Cricetulus griseus: one gene and its partners. The protein of the gene in region 2 interacts with the protein of the main gene of each other region in a pairwise test. Links are inferred from orthologs where the notes say so. Each region holds a gene or a part of one and is shown on either strand. Other genes may lie near its edges. The genes, in order: cysteine-rich hydrophobic domain-containing protein 2, Hoxa1 and Rgs17.

Region 1 (7,470 bases), on a different chromosome or scaffold from region 2:
ACCTGTCAAGCAGGAGAGAAGTCTTATAGCAAGATTAGATGGTGCTAATTCACAGCTTTACTTCAGACTTCAACAGTGTAGAAATATTGAATATTCAGATGATCATACAGAGTATGGCATAGCAAACTTTGTTTGCTTTAGAATTCTTAATATTATGGGATACAATTATACCCAACCCTATTATTAAACTCCTAATTAGAGACAAAGAATAAATTCGAAGTTCCTAAATAAATATTTTAGAATTTTAGGTTCATACTTCGTAATTATCTTTATACAAATACTGGTATTTGATTTAAGATAAAAGTAAATATTTTTAAGTTTGTAAATGTCATGTGTATGTGTGCATGCGTATATATCTATGTATGAATGATAATAAGATGTTCTCACTGTATATAGCATAGCTTATACATTCTGATAAGTTGATATGGTTTAAAAAACACTCTTTTCTTTGAATAATAAATATTGCAAAATGTAATGTTAAGTTTTTAGCAACTACTTTTATATAGTTTTACTATAAAACAACAGACTTCAAGAGCTATTTCTCCCTACTCTATTTCTTTAATTTTCCCCATCTTCTTTTAAACCATCAGTAAAAGTAAAACCTCAAATTGTATAGTAATCTTAATCTATTATTAAAAGGTCCTAGAAAGGAAGATTACAAGGTGGATTCAGGTTTTGAAACGGTTTTACCATTGGTTTAGCAGCGGGTGGGCAGGCAGATGCCTGCTCATAGTAGAACCTATTGCCATTTTTCACCATTGATAGAGTAGCCTTTCAGAGTCAATGAGCTCTGTCAATGTGAGCTTGTCAAGGCTACAACTTCATAGACCTGAGAGGCGGTTTGAGAGGTCAGCCCTTTTCAGGTTCGCTGTGATGCAAATGAACTTTAATGCTTAAACAACTATTGGAATTTTTATGTCTGCTCCTTGTTCTTTTTTCTTCACAAAGTCATTGACGAGACATTCAGTGCTTTTTAAATTGGAAGTTGCATTGTGCTAAAGACCTAGTACAGATTTACGGAGGGCTGAAAGCAGTTAGATCATGTTCTTTTCATGGTGCGATTAGAATCAAATCGATTTCCCTACAGCCTTCAGCATTCAGATGGCAATTTTAACAAAGCTTGGGGGCTAGACAAGGGACAAAACGACTGAACTGAATGTTAATTACTCTCTGCAGCCTTATTTTCTTTTGATTTGGGGCTGACTGGCAACTAAATTAACAAAAAGTGTGACCATAACTGCTGCCCTATTTTCATTTAAAAGGAGAGCTGCCTCTAAAAGGCTATCTTACAAAGAAACAAGTGAGGGCTGCTGATCATTGCTAACAAGGGCACTTTTTCTTTAAAATTCTTACCAAAAAAGACTGTTCAAAAATTGTAATAAATTAGTCATTGACATATTATTGCCAGAAAATGTTGATTTTCTGATTTTTATGACATAAAATTGGAAAATATAAGCACTCGTGGTAATTTGTTGTTAGCTATGAATTATAATTGGTGCCTCTGTGACTTCAGTGTCTTTGTAGCAGTTCAACATGCTGAGATGTAATGCTGGAACTGGATTACAGTAGATACTTTAAATACATCGTAACATTTTTATGTAACAGACTTCAAAACCAGCTTGTTCTACCAGTTTTTCACATCACTCAATGCTGGTTGGCATTCAAGTTTCCATCAGATTATCAGGACTTATTTACAGTTGTGCCACATTTAATATCGGTAGATGCCTTCTTCCTTCTCAAGAAAGCTGCAGCTGCATCAAGTTGCAGTTGGTCTCTTAGCAGTGCTATCACTTCTGCACCTGCAGAGTTAGTCTCATCCTGACACCTGGCTCCATGCATTAGCTTCTTTATTCACACTCCCAAGTGAGAGTGGTCCATGCTGCTTAGTCTGTGCAGCAACTAAGGGAAGCCCTGAAGCAGTAAGTACCCTTGGATTAAGAATCAATTTTACTCTCAGATACAACATTTATGCTGCTTTAAATAAAATTTGGCTGTTTGAAAACTGCAGTAACCAATGAACTGATTTTCTTGCACAGTCCTAAAATTAGTTTGATTTTTATAACTCATTTTCTCCCTTTATTAGCCTTCAGTTAGTAGTGTTTTTATATTTACCCTAAAGGCCATTTATATTTTGTTAACTAATATTTAAATTATTATTGTTTTAAAAATAGAGATTAAGGGATGTTCATTACTATTTAAATACTGAAAAATATTTCCTAAAGAAGTAGGGATTTAAGTTTAAATGAAATGGCATTTGCTTTTTAGACTACTAGTTTTAAATGAAAGGCTAGCAAGTTCAAAATACTTTAAAAATATAAGCATATATACTTAAAACAAAATCAATGTTTCTTTACAAACTACTGTCTCTGATGAGCTTCTTAGTGCTGGACCGTGTAGAGTACAGACCACTCTTGTCATCATTTTATACTTCTTCCCTTTTCACACAAAAAGCAGCTGCAAAACAGCTTTTCTAAAACCAGTCAAGAGTAAACTTTCCCCTCATTTGTCTTCCAGACACGAAGATCGATTGAGAAGTTATTAGAATGGGAAAACAATAGGTTATACCACAAGGTGAGTACTGCAGGGAGCAGCTTCGTACTGTTGGGCTCTGAATTGCACAGTATGGAAACAGATGCTTTTGTTGGCTGAAAATATGAAAGGTGGACGAATGGGTGAGCCTTGTGCCTAGGAAAACAGAGCTCATTTCTCTTCTTTTGCCTTTCTTCGTGTCTAGCTGTGCTTGCACTGGAGACTGAGCAAAAGGAAATGTGAAACGAACAACATGATGGAATATGTAAGTTAAAGGGCTGTTTTGTGAGTTTCTCTATTAAATGATCATTTATTTTGTTTCTGATCTTATTCTTTCCATGATTATTAATCAGCAAAGGTGTCAGGAGCTTAATCTCCTGAGTGCAAGGATTTTCTACGGTTCACAGATGCCTGGGTTTCATGTGCAAGACTGATTTATAAAGTTATGAATGACTTGAAAACAAGGCTTCACTGTGTTCTGAAAAATAATAAATTAATTGCCAAGATAAAATGGCCTGAACATGTGTTGATGGAGTGTGAAATTTTAGATGCTGTATAAAGAATAACCACAACCTTGGTTACGCAGCACGTCAGATATGGCGTTTTTATATAATGCTAATCAAGTTTCCAAGTATGGAAGAGAACCTTTCAGCCAAGCCGTTGGAGCCTGAGAAGCCTTTATAGCCTCTGGCTGCCTGTGTATCTCATGGCTTTAGAGGGTTTTCCAAGTGTTACTAGATCATTGCTTTGTACAGTTATCTTAAACATAAACAGATGTTGGCCAACCTGTTTTGTCCTTTAAAATATGGCTAATTTTGCTTTCACATACATAAATGTGTATGCACGCAATCATTTCAGAAATTTAGTTTATTGATGCCCTTATTTATTTGAACAGTTGTTGTTCTTTTGAAAAGTTCAGAATACTTTAAGAAACTTTGAATTTATTAATTCTCCATTGAGCATGGACAGGTTATTAGATTAAGAGAAAAAGATTTAAGAAAGGAAGAATTTATTGAAACTAAAACTACCAGTCTTTGTGAAGGACCTGGTGTTACATTTCTGAGGAATTTTCACTGTTCTTTGAAACAATATAATCCTCATTGTTTATATGTATAAAAGGTTGGTTAAAAAGTGTTTAAACAGTTGGAAATGTTCATAAAACCATTTCTGATTCTTTCATTATCAGACAGCCAAATCTCCTTTCTCTCCTTGAACATCAAAAATATTTTATGTGTTTGCTCCCCAACCCCAAGCTCTCGCTGTTCACAAACTAAGCAATTTAGGGTTTACCTTTACAATCATATGTTAAATTTCTTTATAACCATAGAAAGGGAACAGCTGAGAGGCCCATTTGAGGTTAACCTGGACAGGTACCAGTCATTTCATCATTGTAAGAGCTCTATTGCCTGTTAGGAGGGCAGGACAGATACTGGGACATTTCAAAGGATTCATGAAATAATGATTTGCTATTATACATGTATAAACCAGAGCACCAAGCTTAAACCTGAAGCTTTAATTACTTTTTGTGTTTCTAAATTTATTTCAGAAAGGGAAAAAATGAAAGTTAATAACAAACTGGATATAGCCCAGTGGTAGAGCATGTGCCTATGACACAAGGGGTTGAATCTCTTGCATTGAGAAAAGAAAAGTGTAAATTATGTGATTTCCAAGTGGAGCTCTATGAAGAACATTCATTCATATAGTATTTGAATTGGATTTTATCTTTAAAAATTCTTTCTTTATAATTAAATTAGTAGCTTTTGAAAACATTCTAAACTGCATAGTTCATGAAATTTTTTAATTTACCTTGAAATTTTGCATAATTAAGTACTTTAAAATGAATTGTATTTCACATGACCATAGAAAGTCTACAAAAGTACTTTTAAAATTGACCTTTAAAGTGATTTTTAGATATTCTTAATGTATGCGTATTTGTAGTAGTTGAAAGCAGGAATAAACAGCTTCGGAAGCTTAAAAGCATTTGAGCACCATAGTCACACACAGAGAGAGGCTAGTAAGAAGAAAAGGCCTCCTTATTTAATGAACTTTGAGCCTTACTACTGTGCATATATATGCCTTTGCCTATAACTTATACAACCTCTGATTGTTAAAGCTAAGTGCTTCCCCTTTATTATATTTTGACTGTTAGAGATAATCTAGAATAAAACACCAATGCAAAACTATTTTTTTGTTTTCACTCATGTATGAAGTGTGTGTAGGATTTGTGAAGGGAAACGTTTGCAGGGCACTGTTCCTTCAAACTAAGGCAGAGTCAGATAGTCAGAAATAGTCATGTTGGGCTAGAGAGTTGGTTCATCAGTTCTGAGCACTTGTTACACTTGCAGAGGATTCAGGTTAGTTCTTAGCATCTCCATGTCTGCTCATATAGAACTCCTGTCCCAGAGGATCTGACATTCTCCTCTAACCTCTGAGGTACCCGGTGCACGCATGCTACATACTTAAATATACACAAATAGTACATGTATATCCATTCAACAAAACACGGATGTATAAAAATAAAAAATAGACACTGTTTTACACTTTGTATATACACTTTAAAATAGTGTGCTCACCCCTCGGGCCTGAAATTTAAAAACACTCTAGTGGAAGATGTGTTTGAATATCTAATATTTATTCAGTGTGAACTTGTAAGTCATGTAAATATTTAATCATTAACCTTTAGAGCTACAAAGAACCTTTTTATCTAGTCCAACCATTTATTTATAGTTGGAAAACATGAGAAACAAGGAAATTGAGCACAAATAAAGAAAGAAGCTGGGTAGAGAAAAAAGTACTTTTTGAAAAGATGTATTTATTTTTATTTTATATGTATGAATGTTTTGCCTGCATGTACGTCTGTGCACCATATTTGTGCCTGGTGCCCTCAAAGGCCAGAAGAAGGCATTGGATCCCCTAGAGCTGGAGTTGTGAGCCACCACATGGGTGCTGGGGAGCGAACCCAGGTCCTCTGTAATTTACATAGAATGTCTCACTGGCTTCCTAGTAGAGTATGTTCTCACTGAGGATAAGTACTTGCTGAGTGCCTAGTCAAAGTATCTCTATTACTCATCTCACAACAAGGCTCAGATAACTCTATGGAAGGGGGAGGAAAGAATGTAAGAACCCGAGGAAAAGGGCACCAGGAAACCCTGTCTTAACACAACCAGTGCTCTTAACCATTGAGTTATCTTTCCAGCCCTGCAATTTTTTTTAAACATATTTTATTTATACTTGGACAATTTCAAACATGTTTAGAATGTATTTTGTTCCCATACCCCTCTTCCTCCATATCTGAAGTTCTATTCCCCACTTCCTCTGGAGCCCTTCTTCTCAACACAACCCCTCTTATACTCCATGTTTATCTGTCTCTTTCTCTTTTAAAAATAACCTGTTGAGTTTAGGGTTGCTAGCATGTGCTTTGGTACAGGATTATTTACTGGATCATGGGCAACTTAACCAATGCCTACACCCTGAAGAAAATGATTCTCCTTCACCCAGCAGCTAGGAATTGCCACTAGCTTCTTAGTTAAGGGGTGAGGTTGCATGAGCCCTTCACCCATCTACCCAAAATCTTGGGCAAGGTAACCCAAGTTCATAAATGTGAGTTCATGAGTATAATGTGCACACCGTGTCCAGAAGACAGGGTTTCCTGGTGCCCTTTTCCTTAGGTTCTTATATTCTTTCCTCCTCCCTTCCATAATGTTATCTGAGTCTTGTTGTGGGATGAGGAATAGAGATACTTTGACTAGGCACTCAGCAAGTACTTATCCTCAGTGAGAACATACTCTACTAGGAAGCCAGTGAGACCTTCTATGTAAATACCAGGTCAGGAAAGTGACATGGGTGACCCCTAAGGCTTCCTACAGGGTAACTAGAAAGGGACAGGAGTGTTTGTGAACCAAGAATGAAAGGAAGTACTTTCTTTATTGAGGCAAATTAAAAAGCCAGTGGAACTTAAGAATGAAAATGAAAGTTCCCGGCCTACATGTTAACCACACTAATGACCACAGCCTCCCATGTCAAGACACAGTTTCCGAGAAAAACGCATTCCCAACTTTAGAAATTATTCACATCAATGAATTTTTAACAATAAAAATTCTTTACTGTATCTATTTGTCAAAGGCATTTTTATAACGCTTGACTTTTTTATTCACTTAATTTTTTTAAAGATTTTTTTTGTTTTTATTTAATGTGTATGAGTGTTTTGCCTGCATGTATGTCTCTGCACCAAGTGTCTGTCTGGTGCCCAGAGAATACAGAACAGGGTGTTGGGAGCCCTGGAACTAGAGAGGAGTGTGAGTACTGGGAACTGAACTCAGATCCCAGCAACAAGTGTTTTCACTGCTGAGCCATCTCTCCAGCTCCCCCAAATGATGTTTTGACTTGTATCTGTTCTATTCAGAATTGGCACATGGGAAGGATTTAATCTAGCCCACTGTTGTTCAAATTCAGAACAGTAGTTAGCTTGCATATTAGTGTTATAACATTTTCAGTTTCTTTTGGCTTACTATTAAAAGTGCCCCTTGGGAGCTGGAGAGATGGCCCAGAGATTAAGAACACTGACTGCTCTTCCAGAGGTCCTGAGTTCAATTCCCAGCAACCACATGGTGGCTCACAACCGGTGCCCTCTTCTGGTGTGCAGATACACATTGTATACATAATAAAATCTTTAGCCGGGCGTTGGTGACACACGTCTTTAATCCTAGCACTCAGGAGGCAGAGACAGGCGGATCTCTGTGAGTTCGAGACCAGCCGGGTCTCCAGAGCAAGTTCCAGGACAGCCTCCAAAGCCACAGAGAAACCCTGTCTCAAATAAATAAATAAATAAATAAATAAAATCTTTTTTTTAAAAAAAAAGTGCCTTTGGAACAATTTTAACTAGTTTTGCTAATCCAGGAAAAAAAGAGATTGGGAAAAAGGAATAGCCGGGTTAGAGGTGCA
Region 2 (7,570 bases):
CACTAATAAACAAAAGATACAGTATAGCCAGGCGGGGAAATGAAAGAAAAGGGTGGTGTCTTTGAAGTTCTCTCCATCCACTTGAATCTTTTCAGGCGACCTCAGAACCAGCAGCTGAGGGAGGGTGCCCAGAGCCCTTGATATGCATGCAGCAACTGCTCCCACAAAGTCCATTTAACAGGGTTGTGCAGGAAATCTCACAAGTGTTCTAGAAGGCCTGCAAATTCCGAAGGTTTGTAGGTTTTTCTCCTCAGCCCATCTTTTCAAAACACCCTTTGAAAAGGAAGTCACATGTCTGTATCTGTGATGCTGTAGATTTTCTACTCTGCTCTGAGGGCTCAAAGCCTCCAAATGTGTGTGAAAACTGAGGAAGGTCCAACACTTGCCTAGAACGTACAAGGCTCTGAGTCCCATCCCCAGCACCACCAGGAAAAGAGTTAGAAAATGTTGCTTAAACCCTGAAATATGTTAAAAAATAAAAGGAAATTGGCAAGAGGTCTAGAACAGCTCTGTTGAATGTCATCATTTGTTGACTCCCTCTGAGATCTGACACATGCCTCTATCAGAAACAACTTGGATACACAAAGATGTGAGCTGGTTTTCATAAGGTCAACTGGAAGAATCTGAATCTAGAGACTATCAACTTCTGCCCAGCCTATGTGGCATGGAATTAGAAATGGAGAGCCTTTGCAGTCATGATGGCAATGACATGAAAGTTGAATTTGAAGGGATAAGATTGCAATGCAGAGATGTAAGGGAGTGGTTGAAAGAATGGATATTGATAGAAAGAACAGGGGGTGGGAGGCAGACCATACTCAACTTAAAAGATACTTTTATACTGAAGCTGATTAAATGTGAATCTCTCTGCCGTTGGTTCTCTAATGTGAGGAAAGACTGACTGAAGACAGTTTTCAGCTTTTGAAGGGGCTCTGTTTATATATGTGTCAACATTCAGTTGGAGGTGAAAAGGTTAGCACTTGACCCGGGAAGTATCCATGTTTGTTTCAAAAATAGATCTCCTTCATACATTGCTTCACTAGTTTTTCCATTTTGAACTTTGGTTATAATAAAGGAGTGGTTGTTATGATAAAGAGATCAGTGCATTAGCTAGACATTGGTTGGATGAGGCTATACTTATAAGGAATGCTGCAAGCTACATGACAATGGAGGGCCCACTTCTTTGAAAATAAATACCACCCTTCTGTCCTTCCCCATATATCCTTCCCCTTACTTTGTAGTAAGACACAAACTGTAGCCCAGCCAAATACACAGATGCTTAAGCATACCCAAAACTTGAATATTTTTTATTACAGACGTCTTAAGACCCGTAAACTCTGCTCTGGATCACATCCCTCTGGGATCTCAGAGCTGTTCATGATTGTACAGGAAAGGGGGACTATCGTAGGCTCACAAAAGATAACTGATAGAACTCAGTGTGGTACTTCAGGGACATCAAAACATTGTGCGACATGCAGAAGACTATTCACGAATCACACAAAATATACATTCATTGTGCCATCACATTAACAATTAGCTGAAAATACATTGTATCCAGCCAAGATAACTGTGGAAAGAAAGGGTGACTGAAAAGAGTACCTTTAGGTTACAAATAATCCAGCACACTTTTTAAGTGGAGGGTGGCCAGAGAAGCAAGAAGAAATCGGTAATTTGGGAAGTCTTGGCACAGCAAAGGTTCTGAACTTTGGGCTTCTCAGGCCTTCTTGACTCTGCAAGAGCAAATTGAGGCTACCTTTTGAGGAATCTGGTTCTGTTTGAATGCCAGGGTCCCCCCTTTTTTGTCCACCCATAATCACCAGTTTTGGAAGTTTGCCCACCCTGTTTGATATAGTTCTGCATGTTTCTAGAAAATCTGTATAAAGATAAATCTCTCAAGAGAAAGTTAAGGGGTGAATTAATTGTGTAAACACACTCAGTCAATCTCTTCTTCATGAGCCTTTGGATACTCTCTTTTTTGTGTGTCCTACTTAAGAGCCAGGTAGAGAAGAACAATATACAGATAAAAGGTGAGATGCCTCCCTTCTTCAAATGCCTGCTGGCAAAGGGTACTGTCCTCCAAGGGACATCTGAAAGGAACCATGGGTTGTGTAAAAAAAACTCTCACAACAGTGAGGAAGGAATTTTGGGGGCCACCAGAAATTGATATGGGCACCCGATGTGGATTAAGGATTTAATTTACAACCAAGTCTCCAGAATTCTATGGAACTACATTATGTTGCCCAGGAGCTCTCTGGATTGGACCAGAAAGAAAAAGAGAGACTGTAAAGGAAGAAAGATAAGCTAGAGATGTGCTTTGGGTAAGAAACCCTAGCCCAGGGAGAAGCCTGGACTACGGAGCTGGGCTGGAGTGGCCTCAATGGGAGGTAGGCAGGGTGTCTGAGGTAGATGATGCTGGAGAAGGAACGCAGGGCGAGGAGCTGGATTTCTCAGAAGATTCTTCAGCTTTCTCGTCGCTTCCAGGAGGAGTGGCTGGAGAAATGGGCAGGAGCCCCTCCTTCTCACGCTTCTTCTGCTTCATGCGGCGATTCTGGAACCAGATCTTCACCTGGGTCTCGTTGAGCTGCAGGGACGCGGCTATCTCCACCCTGCGCGCTCGTGTCAGGTACTTGTTGAAGTGGAACTCCTTCTCCAGCTCCGTGAGCTGCTTGGTGGTGAAGTTGGTGCGCACTGCGTTGGGTTGACCCACATAGCCATACTCTCCAACTTTCCCTGGGGTAACGGAGGAAGAGAGGAAAAGGTAAAAATTCTTTAACCCTTATCCGATTGCCCAATGTTCGGGGCAACATTCGGTTAACTGCTCAGCACAAACCCAGCTGGGAAGCTCTAGTGACAAACGATGTGTATGTAAAGTGTTAACCTGAAGTCAACCATTAGCGTGGTCAGGCTTCTGATTAATGGAGCCTGTAGATATTAACAAAACTCCACCACCACCGACACCTCCCACCCACACCACACCACACACACACACACACACACACACACACACACACACACACACACACACACACACGCTTCCTACTTCTAGACCACTGAAGCATCAGCCCCTTTGAAAATGCCAGGTCCAGAAACTGCTTTGCCCCAACACACCTGGGCATCCTACACCACACACTATAACTCCAGAAGACACTAGACAGAAGCAAGAACCCATCTTTTAAAATCATTAACTTTCCTAGGAAACTAAGCGCACCGGCCCCTTTCAAAATCAAGCAACATTTGTTTGCCAGCCGGCAGGACTCACCTGTTTTGGGAGGGTTTCTTTTGACTTTCATCCAGTCAAAGGTCTGCGCTGGAGAAGGCGTCTCTGAAGCAGGGGAGCGACAGGCTTCTTGGTGGCTGGCGTGGAGAGGGGATAAGGAGTTATTATACGTGGCCAGGGCCAGGCTCTGGTGCTCTTGTCCATAAGAGTGGTGGATATACTGAGGCGAGCCCACCGTGCCCCCAGCATAACCCTGGTGGTGGTGGTGGTGGTGATGCTGGACCATGGGAGATGAGAGGTTTCCAGAGTAAACAGCGGGAGCGCACGGGGAGTACCCACCACTTACGTCTGCTTCCTGATTTAATCCATAGGGGCCATAAGGCGCACTGAAGTTCTGCGCGCCATAGCTTGGACCACAACTCGAGTGGGAGTAGGAAACCCCCAGACTCCCAGAAGTCTGGTAAGTAGACGGCTGGGGGTGGTGATGGTGGTGGTGGTGGGGCGAGCTGATCTGCACCCCCCTGCCCACTAGGAAGCGGTCGTCGCCGCCGCAGCTGTTGGCACTGACCGCGCAGGATTGGAAAGTTGTAATCCCATGGTCAGAGGTGTAGGCTCGCGCAGAGCAGGTCCCGGAGTCGCCACTGCCAAGGATGGGATATTCCAGGAAGGAGCTCATTCTTGCATTGTCCATCTGTCACTGAGTGACTGGGTCCTGCGAAGCCCTGGGTGACCGTGCCAACTTTCTCACTTCCTCCATGGGACCAGAGAAGAAAAATGATATGAATGTACAGTGCGCAAGAGGCGGGGCGGGAAGGCGGAGGACTCAAGGGGAAGGACACGTGACTTTGTCAACCAATGGCTGAGCCGCCTGCGAAAGTTTACCGGCTGCGGCGGTGATGGATCACCGTTTCAGTGGCATTTAAATCCCCGGCGCTCCTCAGTCTAGGTGACGCGCGGTCGCCCCCCCAGGCTGCCCGGGCCGCGGCGGCTGCTCCGGCCGCTGCCAGAGCTGACTTGGAGCACTGGGGCCAAGGGGAGTAGAGATTGACTTCTGCGCGCGCCCGACTCTGCTCGCCTCCGCCTCCAGGATGTGGGGGATGGGAGGCGACCCTCCGCGGCCCTTTCCCCACCCAGCCTAGAAAGCTGAACTGACAAGAGGTGAGAGGGGACGAGGCCTCTCGGCTCTCTTGAGGCGGGCCTCGGTAGGCCAGAGCTCTCTGCATGGTCTCAAGGACCCTGGCGGAGCCGGGAGCAAACAGGGTGGGAAGGGTAGGAATCCAGCACACATCATCCCCTCAGCTCGGGATGGCCGCCACCACCCAGTCCCTGCAGAGACTTGAGCCTGGAACCCAGGCGCCTAGGGCAAGGCTGCGTCACTGCCTCACCCGCCTCGGAATGTAGGGGGACGTGCGCAAAGGATTGTCTGGGAGGAATCAGGGTGGGTGTGATGGGGACCAGAGAAAGAAAAGAAGCTACTGTCCTCATCCGGAGGGTCTCAGAGCCCTCTGCCCTGACTCCTACGGGCCAATAGCGTGGCTATGGGAGCTTCTGTAATTCGACCCCAGGGGGGCGGGGGAGCCCTAGGAACCCAGCTCTCTGGGAAAGTCCGGGTGTCTGCTCTCTTCTCTGCCCTCCCTCTTCTCTGGATCTCTTCCCCTTTCTCCTTCCCAGTCAGTCAGCTTTGCTCTTGGTAGTCCCTCAGGATCCGGAGCAACTCTGCTGCTGGAGTTTGAGGGTGGAAGGCAGATGAGAAAGATGACGCTAGCAGACGTGGCCGGCATGAGGGCCGAGCCTGAGCTGCAGGCCTTCTGTCTGCTCTTAGAGACCCAGGAGCTTGCTCGCTCCAGCGTAGGCCTCAGAGGGACGGAGGGACGGGACAGAAGGACGGATCGCACAGTTCTTACAAAGTATGCTGACCTCCCGCGTCACATTTCTCTCTTTCATAAGGGGCTTGCTTGTTAGGAGTGGGAAAACCTCCTCTTGCCACCGCCCCCTATTGCATGTCTGGGGGGTGGGGAGGGACTGGCAGGTGGGAGGGGCAGTGGACAGATGGCTGAGTGGATTGTATACTTTCCAACGGACTGTGTAGTTGCTTGTGTGAACCTTCAGGTCACTCCCCAGAGAGACACGTGCAAATGTGAGCATCATCCCAGGACAGGGGTCCTGTTTTCCATCAACCTCACCCCTACGATGATGCTGATGGTGTTGGTAATTGCTGTTTACTGTTAGGTTTAATGTCAGCCCTAGGCTTGAAGAGAGAAAAGGCCACACAGAGAATGAACGCGTTCTTAAGTAGGAGAAAGTCAGTGATCACCTAAGAAACCTTGCAAGCAATTCTGCACAGGTTTTATTCTGACCATGCTTCTAGACGTGAAATTATCAGAGTAATTTATGTGTGAGTTTGGGTGTTCTCTGTCTATAGAAAAAGGAAGTTTTGTTCAGAGCAGCCACTTTTCAAATGTGAGGTCACTCTTCAGACTTTGTTTTGTTCTCCACATATAGAAGTTGTGGTCCCCTCCACCCCTACCCCCAGTCCCAAACCTGACCATCCTCAGGGAGATCTAAGTAGACCTTGTGTCTGGTCTTCCTCAGTAGCAACCACTTATTTGAGGAGTGGTGTTTCTCTGTGACCTTTGACTCACCCCCAAGGCTTGGTTAAGGGGGAGCAAGGACTGGAAAGTTTCCCCTGCTTTAGCTTCAGCTCCTGAGGAATCATCAGAGGAAAGCAAGGTAGACCTCCCTGAGGAGGTTGTCTTGGGAGGGCAGTCCTCCAGCTATGAAGAAAGCAGGGACTCCTGTGGGTCGGCAGGAAGTGAGAGGCTCAATGGAGTGAGTGCTGGTGAGCTGCTCATTTAGCAGGAGACGTCCATTCCTTCTCCCCCTTGCCTCTTTCCTGGCCTTCCGTGGGCTTCCCCTCCGGATTTGCATTAACATGCTAGCTCCAGGACTGGGGCCTCAAAGCTGCCCCAGGCCTCTGTCGGCCTGCTTGTGCTAGTTCTCACTCCCTTCAGCCCTCTCCCTCCACCTTTGTTTTCCTGAACAGACTAGATGGGGTGCTTTCCTCTCGAGATCACAGGCAGGCACTGGAACCCGGCCCACAGACACCCGGGCTTCCACAGACCTTGCCCTATTAACTGCAGGCTCGGCCTCTGCCGGCTGCGGCTGCGGCCCATGCTTTCCCGGGTAGGCTTTCCAAGACAGCCTCCCCTAGCCTGATCTCGGTAGGCTTCTGCAGCCCTGATTCTTTCCCAGCCCCCACCCTGGAGGAATCATCGGGAAGGCTACTGAGCAGGGTAAGAGACCTTTGGTCTTTTGAGCAAGCAGGCCAGCAACCCACGCAATCGAGCTAAAGTCTCTTTAAATAGCCCCCAGTAGAGTGGGTGAAAGGCGAGCTTGGGCCATGAGTGAAATAATCCTCTGCAAGCGGCTTGCTTGGCTCCAAGTGTCTCTTTCATGGCCCTTCCACTGGAAAGGGAATGAACAAGGAGGAGACAAACAGAGGCCCCGAGCTGTTCTTGGCATCCGCGGCTCAGCCAAGCTGTTGTTTTAAAAGAGCAATAAAAATGAATTATGACTAAACGCCTTCTAACTTAATGCTTTCGGACGGGGATCCCCGGCAAATACGTAAGAGGTTTTTTATTTGTGCATGTGTTCCTGCAATTGATCTCTTTGATGACATTCTCATTCATAGAAAGCGTTTGATTTATGAGCTTAGGACGAATCGCATCCAGGAGCTCAACAGTTCTGCCACAGCCGGGGACGCCCTGGTTGGCTCTCTTGGAGTCTGGGGTTTGAACCTACACAGTCCCCACACATCAAGGCTGCTGAGGGCCTGGGGGAGTAAAGGGTGGAGGGACAGGGCGGTAGGGAGCATACCCCTGAAGAAAGATTGAGGTTTCATTGTAATTCCCAAGCCTTTGCAGTTAAGAGCTGGGTTCTTAGACACCAATCAGCTGGCCTCACGCACATGTTGCTGCAGTTTCTCACAGCAAGTAAGTCATCAGAACAGAGCCCAGAAAATAAATAAACAAACAAATCAAAGTAGGGGCAGACAAAAGAAGAGGGAAAAAACAGAACACCCTAATAACACACCCTAGATCACATTTTATTAATATTTCATTTAAAGTGCTCCTTCTCTGTCTAAGAAAGTGGGTTAATTAATAATCTAAGGTGCAGAAACTCTATTTTAAAATCCCAGCTTGCTAACCTGACTTCAAACCTTTAATGATTTATTATTAGCAATGTAAACAAATCTAAGAATTAAATATTGCTGTGTGTGTGTGTGTGTGTGTGTGTGTGTGTGTGTGTGTGTGCAGTGGGGGCAAGAATCTTGGGATTACTGGAAAGAATCCTTTC
Region 3 (7,570 bases), on a different chromosome or scaffold from region 2:
TAAACCTGACATTAGCACTCCCTGCCAGGTTGACTGACAGCAAGTTCCTTGTCTCTTCCTGTCTGTCTTCCTGAAACCCAGTGTTGCGGTTATAGGCATTCAGAACATGCCTTGTTTATATGTGGTTGCTGGGGATCTGAATTCAGGACCTCTTGCTTTCAAACTAAGCATTCTTACCACTTAAGCCATCTCCCCAGCCTGCCACTGTAGGTTTTAGAACAAGGTTTCTCACTGAACCTGGAGCCCATAGTTTCAGCTAAGCAGGTCAGAAGACCTTTCTGAGCCATGTCAATTTTGCAAAGTTAATTCATTTAGTAAATATCTAATACTTCCCTTTCTTAGTTACTGTGCTAGGTGCTGGCACAGTAGCAAGTATAATAATCTAAGTGGATTTTTAAAAAATTTGCTAAAGTTACTTAAAGGATAAATGGAGGTGAGGGGAGATAGGAAAGATGGGCACTGTCTACTTAGAGGAAATGAAGTATTTGTTTTATAGAAGCACTCTATAAAACCCCATAGTATGGTCTTTAGTAATTGACAGATAAATGTATTAGTGCCCACATTTTCCCTTCTGGAGAGTGAAGTATCTTCATTGTTCTGTAGATAGAACTAGGGTATCCAAATCCCCTACAGAAATGCCATAGAATGGATTCCCAAATGCCATAGAATGGATTCCTGTCCTTTTGGCTCCCTGCTTCACTGCTAATGACTACTTCTCCAGGAAAGTCCATACATTTCAGCAAATAGACTTCTAGTGCAAGATCCCATGTCTTCATAGCAGAACATTCACATCTAAGTTCTTCCTTACCCTTCAGTCTGTGAGTCAGCAGAATTCTCATCATTTAGGATGGAGACCATTCAATTCACATTTATTTAGCTCTTTAACAAAGCCAAACAAGAATGTAGCTTTTTGTTTTCAAAGCGTCTTCCCTGGGTGTATGCTAATGAGATTTATTCTGAAAAAGTATAAGAAATCCTTAGGAATTATGATGGATTTAGACCATTGGCACTAAGACCTTAAATGAACTAAATCCTGATACGGTGGGCATCCTTTAAGAACGAGCACAGATAACACACACACACACACACACACACACACACACACACACACACACACATATATATATATATATTATTATATATATTATATATATATATCTTGAGTTCTATTATGACAGAGAGCACATGTGATAGCTACACTATGATATATATTTAATATTTACTTTTTTTGAATTATGGATATTTGTCACCAATATCTTGCAGCTTTCCCAAACATGTCGACATTTATAAGTAACATATAAGTATGGTATAGTAAAAAGAATGAAAGCTCCAGGGACTTGGATAAGCATCCAAATTAACTTTGCAATTGTCTAAATCTGAGCATTAAGTAGACAATCCACACTGTAGGAATTTGTATTTATGGTGATGAGGACACAAACAGTATCCTAGATGTTTGAATTTCCTGGAGCATAATTAATAAGATACACAGTTAGTATTTCCCTGATTGGCTGAAGCTAATTATAGTTCCAGTTTAACAGCATTTAGTGTTTTAAGCCTCTCATACACTCTGCACTGTATTCATTCAACCAATCTTTACATTTCTAATCACCTACTATCACATAGAAAATTTCTTATGTGATGTATTATGTTATTATAACTTAATTTGAAGGTTTCAGATGGTAGAAATAATGAGTATAAATAATGAGTATAAATTGATATTGAAAATGTCTTGAAGATTTTGGAATAAAATTTTAAGATGGGAAGGGTTAGATAAATTATCATTTGGTAAATGCAACAATATAACAAGTTTTTGAATGTTGAGTTACCCTTTTTCACGTTTTTATAAATTTTATTTTATAAATACAATACAAACTATGAGTCTGAAAAAAAAAAAAAGAACGAGCACAGTGCCCAAAGTAGGGACTAACTAACCTAATGAGAAGTTGAGGCAACACAGTCAAAAAACGTGGAAATGGGCAAAACGAACACCTTACACTGCTTGCTTTTAAGTGAATGGGTTTCTTTATCTTTCGGAGACAATTTCAAGAGGGAAGATGCTACCTGTGATGTGGGTTCTGGTATTATTCCCATGGACAGGCATCTCATTTCACAAAACATATTCTTTTCTGTAATAGTAAACACTTGTCTTCTTAGTTCCCCAAACTGTAAATAAACCTCATCCATAGGCCCTAAATACAGCCCTTAAGATTATAAATTAGTAAATAAACCTAATAAACCTACATTGCCATGAGTGGGATGATTACTATTTTAGTTCATGATAACGGGAGAAGTTGCTTCATAATAGTAAGTTAACAGAAGGTCAAACTTCTCAGTCATGTGACTTAGATGAGTATGAATTACCCTTTGATCGGTTATCAGTGTTGCAATGCATGTCCCATGCATAACTGCTACTGTTACAACGACAGACTTCGGAGATGCAGACAAAGAATGAGCCTCACGGTTTGCGAATTCTTCAATTCATACAGCGTCTAGTAGCTCAGAACTTAACGAGGAAACATTATCAGAGTAAAATTTATTTCTGTCTTTACCAACTGAATGGTTTTCAGAAAGGTTCACCACGCTGAAAACCAGTGTGCCTGAGCACCGGAAATGCAGTCTCAGAAGTGTTTATCCTAGGTGGGAACCAAATTGAGGTTCCTCTTTCTCTGTGATAACCAACCCATGATGGACAGAATCCTGCTGTAACCCCTCCCCCCCGTCCCCTTTAAGGAGGCGGAAAGGGGCAACTAAAAGCTTGCAAAGTTCTTCAGACAAGACATAGAAGGATGAATTTACTGAAGGGTCAGTAGGGAGCGGGGAGTGTTGGAACACTATGCTCAGAGCCAGGGGCAGGGTTCCTGGGCGACCAGGATCTCTCAAGCGAGCCTGCTTCCCTAGTTCTCCGTGGAGGAAAAGGACACACGCCTCGTCTTGTACCCACATCTTTTAGACCAGGTGACCCATGCTCAGTCTCTGGGAGCCCTCAGACTCCTGAGTGAGTGGTGCGCCTCCTGCTAGTCAGGAGCAGGTCCCCACCCGATGCTCTGTTCTTCCGCCATCCTCAGGTCCTCCGACATTTTTCACCAAGACACAGAGGTAGGGAGAAGAGGAGACAACAGGAAAGTGTCTGCAACCAGCCTCTGCGGCAGCCCGAGAAAAGAGAGGAGGAGGGAGGCTAGCGAGGAGGCAGCTAGAAGCTGTGATCCATCCGTAATCAGGAGACCCAGCTCCCACAGCAAGGAAGTCTGTGATGCCACCCAGCGGGGCAGCGGCTGGGGGCTGGTGGGCGTTCCTGATCTTCACTCTCTCGATTTCTGTAAAACCGACCCGGTGCCATGCACACCAGAACTCGTTTTCTCAGGGGTGGGGGAGGAACAAAAGAGACTCTCACCTTCTGCAATACACACACACACACACACACACACACACACACACACACACACGCAACGCGCGCGCACACACACTCACAGCAGCTGCTCAAGGTATCTGTAAAACCATTATCTGCACTGAATCGCTTATTTTCCCTAAAGGCACCAACAGATAAAAGGAGAAATGAGACCACCCGAGGTGGTTCGCGGCTGAGACCAAACAGCCACGAAAAGCTTGGGGACCCAGATCCCCTGCGCGCTCCCCCTCCCGCCACTGCAGAGCTCTCTCACCTCCAGGTCCCCGAAGGTGTTGAGTCCTTTCCCCGCGGGAGCGGGGACACCCGAAACCGCGACCCGGCAGGACAACCGTCCAGACCCTCTGCAGAGCCGGCAGGGGTGGGGGGATGAGAGTGGACTGAGCCCTGCGGCGGGCCACGCGGGATTCAACTTCGCGGAGCCACCGAGCGGTGCTGCCCACTGACACCCGCGCACCCCACTGTCTCACCAGCCAGGGACTGGCGACAGACATTCCCCCTTGCCCCCCTTCCCTCTTTCTCACACCTCCTCCTCGCCGTGTGTGTGTGTGTGTGTGTGTGTGTGTGTGTGTGTGTGTGTGTGTGTGTGTGGTGGGGGGGTGGGGAGGGCAAAATGAGCAAAGGAAAAAAAAATCAAACCCACCCATCAGTGCAAAGCAGACATTTTTATGTCATTTCTTATCCTATTAGGGATTCAGAGGTCGCGCCTTACCGGGTGGCCTGGGGTGTGGGTGAGCGCACCGCGGTCCGAGGGTGCGCGAGGCTGGGCTGCTCAGTCCTCTAGAGGAGCCGGCTCACTGCCATCCACCCAACTTCAGCACCGGGCGACGGAGACAGGGAGCCAGGCCAGCAGAGAGCGGAGAGGGAGGAGGCTGGGGTGGGCGGGGAGGGAGCGAGAGAGCGAACAAGCGGCTCGCAGCGCATGCGTCTGGCAGCCCCTCGCTCCGCTCTGCCGGAGGTGAGGCGTCCTCCCCTCCCGCGGGCGCGCGCCCGCGTGAGTCACCACCGTCGTGTCCCTCCTTGGCGTGCCCGCCCGGGGACCGAGCTCACTGTGTCTCGGTGCCAGGCGGCTAGGCGACACCAGTGGGGAGGCTCGGGGTGCCTTCCTGGAAAGGACGCAATTTACAAGGAAGAACTCTCCTAATTTGCTTTCACCCATAGCTCAAGTGGTGTTGCCTAGTCCTGGGACCAGGCCTGCAGGTCTCTTAGGCACTCAAGGAGCCTTAGGTTTGGGCTGGCTTCAAGGGAGTGTAAACATGAGTCTTTTACTTTTATTGATGTCTTACCCAGAAATACCCAAGAATTCCTCCAGGCGCTCTCTGGCCTTAGGTAGATACACCTTCTGGGCTTCTGGAGCTGGGGTTCAGTGAGAGAAACCTAATTCAGGGCAGGAGTCAAGAACACTTAGCCGGCTGTGGAAACCTGGGGCTTAAAGCATCCTTATAGGACCCCTTGACAGTGACAGGAATTGCTAATCTGCTCCCCAGCAGAGCACAGCTTGGTAATGAAGGAGCCTTGGATGCTTAATGCATTCCAAGCCCTAGATTGTACCTCCTGTGATTAGGCTGAAGTGTTTCTGAGGCAGGGCAAGGAGAGCGGATGTCTTTCTCTTTAGATTCCACATCTGTGGGAAGGGGAGTGAGTTCCTGCAGGAGTGATTAGGCTTTTTCCTTACACCTAATTAGAACTGATTGCTTGTAGATGTATATGACAGCCTCCTGCTGGGGTCCTCCTGTATGCAAATACTGTTGTATTCCAGCCCTTGCCCCACCTCCTCCAATTAATATAACTTGGGGTGTGTGTGTGTGTGTGTGTGTGTGTGTGTGTGTGTGTGTGTGTGTGTGTGTGTGTGAGAGAGAGAGAGAGAGAGAGAGAGAGAGAGAGAGAGAGAGCTCTTTTCTTGAGCTACACCCAATGGCTTTGTGTACTAATGCCCTGAAAATGCACTCCTTGGAGCTGATCTACAAACTCTACTGATTTGTAATGAGAAATAAGCACAGAAATGGAGACTGAAATTTAGGAATTTTTGTAGCGATTTACCATTGCCATGGCATCTAAGTGCTTCAGTCAGTTGTAGCTGGCATGCTCTATTTTAAGCGTAATTCATTTGTTGTTGTTGTTGGAGATTACGAAAGTACATTTTGATCCATTATGGGTGTTCTAACAACATATCACAGAATGGGTGACTCACAGACAACAGAAACTAACCCATCACAATACTGGAGAGGGTCAAAGAGTCCAAGGTCAGATGTAGTCAGGTTGGGTGTTTTATGAGGGGTCAAGTACTGACATATGTAATGCTTTGGACTCACAGTCCCAGGGTAAATAAGACGGCCCTCTGGTGTGACATTTATAAAGACCACTATGTCTCTACATGATGCTTCATCCATGTGATCTAACCACTTTTGAATCTAACACTTCTGACTGCAATTACTTTGGGAGTTAGGGTTTTAACAAAGGGATTTATGGAGACAAGTGTTCTATATTATTGGTCCATAATGGACCAAAAATATTCTCCCAATGGTATAAGCTGCAGTGACTCCTTGGTAATACCCTCTTACACTAGTATCTTTATTCCTAATCTCTAATGAGCTGACCCACCTTAACTGAAGAATTACAGCTACTAACAATTCTTGAACAACTGCCTTTACTGTTACCGTTATCACCATTAATATTTATTGAGCAATTAGTTGCTGCTGGATATTGGCCTAAATTATTTTCATGTGTTTCCTATTCTCTTTGCGCAACAACCCCACAAGGTAGATACTATTATTATCATGTTTAGCAGGCATCTCAGAGGCTGAGTGGCAGAAATCCACCCCCTCCAAACCTGTTCCTCCTTGGATTGTTCAACCCAGTTATCCAATCCAAAAATGTAAAGCCATCCTTGCTTTACCTCCTTGTCTTCATCCTCATCCAGTTAATTAGCAAGTCATATTATCTCTTCCTCAAAAATACATACCCAATTTGTACACTCAGTTCCTTCTCCACTATGGTAGCCTTGATCCAATCCACTACCATCTCTTACTTAGATAACTCAAGGTCTTCTATTTGAATCCCCTGTTTTCTCCTCCCCAAACACTCTAAATATCAGCTTAATGATCTTCTAGAAGCATGCAGATCTTGTCATGTGACTACTTAAAATCCTCTAGACTTCCCTTGTATTTTAAACACAGCCCATGATCCATCTCTTACCTTGGGAGGTTCTGTTCAATAGTCTTCCAACTTTATTTGCTCTTATCTTGCTTCCATGGACCAGAATGATGATTGTTCTGGCTGCATAGGGATGTCAGCATATGATACCTGTTGTCTTTCTTCCTAGAATCCTATTCATGTACTTCTTTACATAGCAGGCAATTTAATGTCATGGATGCATCTGTTTCCAAGAAAGGCCTGATCCAACCACCATGAAAACTATTCCAATGAGACAAGCAGTTCTTTTCTATTTAGAAGGATCCCCTTGTATTGTTTTATTTTATTAAAGAAATACTTTTCCCAATATCTAAATAAGTTGCTTAGTTTCTACCTTTTCATCCCATATTAGAATAAAGTCTTCCAAAACTTCACTTTTCTTTTCTGTTGCATCTCCATGGTTCAGAACAGGATTCAGCATGTAATATCAACTTGATGAATATCTGTTGAATGAACAAGTGAATGATTGAATAAATCAAAAACCTAGAAAATGTGTCTTTGGTGTTCACTGCTGGTTTTTCTTGGATTCTAATTGCTTCTCACCAAAGTCTGTTGCTTCTAAACACATATATCTCACAGGTTCCTCAGCCCAACCTAGGAAAGATGACATTTAACCTATATGCAAGGGTCAAGTTCCAATAACAAACTTTGAAACAAGCATACCACACTTTTTCTTTTTTCCAGTATCAAGAATTAACTCTGTAGCCTACTGCATGCTAGACAAGGTCTCTACTACTGAATATCCCCAGCCTTCTTTTTAACTTTTTTATTTTGAGACATAGTCTCACTAAGATGACCGAGCTGTCCTCAAACTCACTCTGGAGTATAAGTGTAACTTGAATTTACAATCCTTCTGCCTCACACTTGACACCTAGGTGTATAGGATTATAAATCTGTTCTGTACCATATACTTACTAAGGCCAGATGTAAAGTGTGTGTGTGTGTGTGTGTGTGTGTGTGTGTGTGTGTGTGTGT

What was found.
Region 1: the proteins of Hoxa1 (region 2) and cysteine-rich hydrophobic domain-containing protein 2 interact in binary tests that used the Homo sapiens proteins (3 or more experiments, as listed by UniProt). The two-hybrid records come from large-scale screens. The link is inferred for Cricetulus griseus from reciprocal best matches to the Homo sapiens genes HOXA1 and CHIC2.
Region 3: the proteins of Hoxa1 (region 2) and Rgs17 interact in binary tests that used the Homo sapiens proteins (3 or more experiments, as listed by UniProt). The two-hybrid records come from large-scale screens. The link is inferred for Cricetulus griseus from reciprocal best matches to the Homo sapiens genes HOXA1 and RGS17.

What each region holds. Positions count from the first base shown.
Region 1 is NW_023276807.1:141,510,882-141,518,351, reverse strand, and holds part of cysteine-rich hydrophobic domain-containing protein 2, read left to right. Parts: intron 1-2,514; coding exon 2,515-2,571; intron 2,572-2,734; coding exon 2,735-2,794; intron 2,795-7,470.
Region 2 is NC_048601.1:89,184,435-89,192,004, reverse strand, and holds Hoxa1 (homeobox protein Hox-A1), read right to left. Parts: upstream 4,020-7,570; 5' UTR 3,906-4,019; coding exon 3,257-3,905; intron 2,728-3,256; coding exon 2,372-2,727; 3' UTR 1,272-2,371; downstream 1-1,271. UniProt on the Homo sapiens protein: Sequence-specific transcription factor. Regulates multiple developmental processes including brainstem, inner and outer ear, abducens nerve and cardiovascular development and morphogenesis as well as cognition and behavior.
Region 3 is NC_048595.1:283,385,387-283,392,956, forward strand, and holds the start of Rgs17 (regulator of G-protein signaling 17), read right to left. Parts: upstream 4,281-7,570; 5' UTR 4,116-4,280; intron 3,682-4,115; exon of another isoform or gene 3,660-3,681; intron 1-3,659. UniProt on the Homo sapiens protein: Regulates G protein-coupled receptor signaling cascades, including signaling via muscarinic acetylcholine receptor CHRM2 and dopamine receptor DRD2.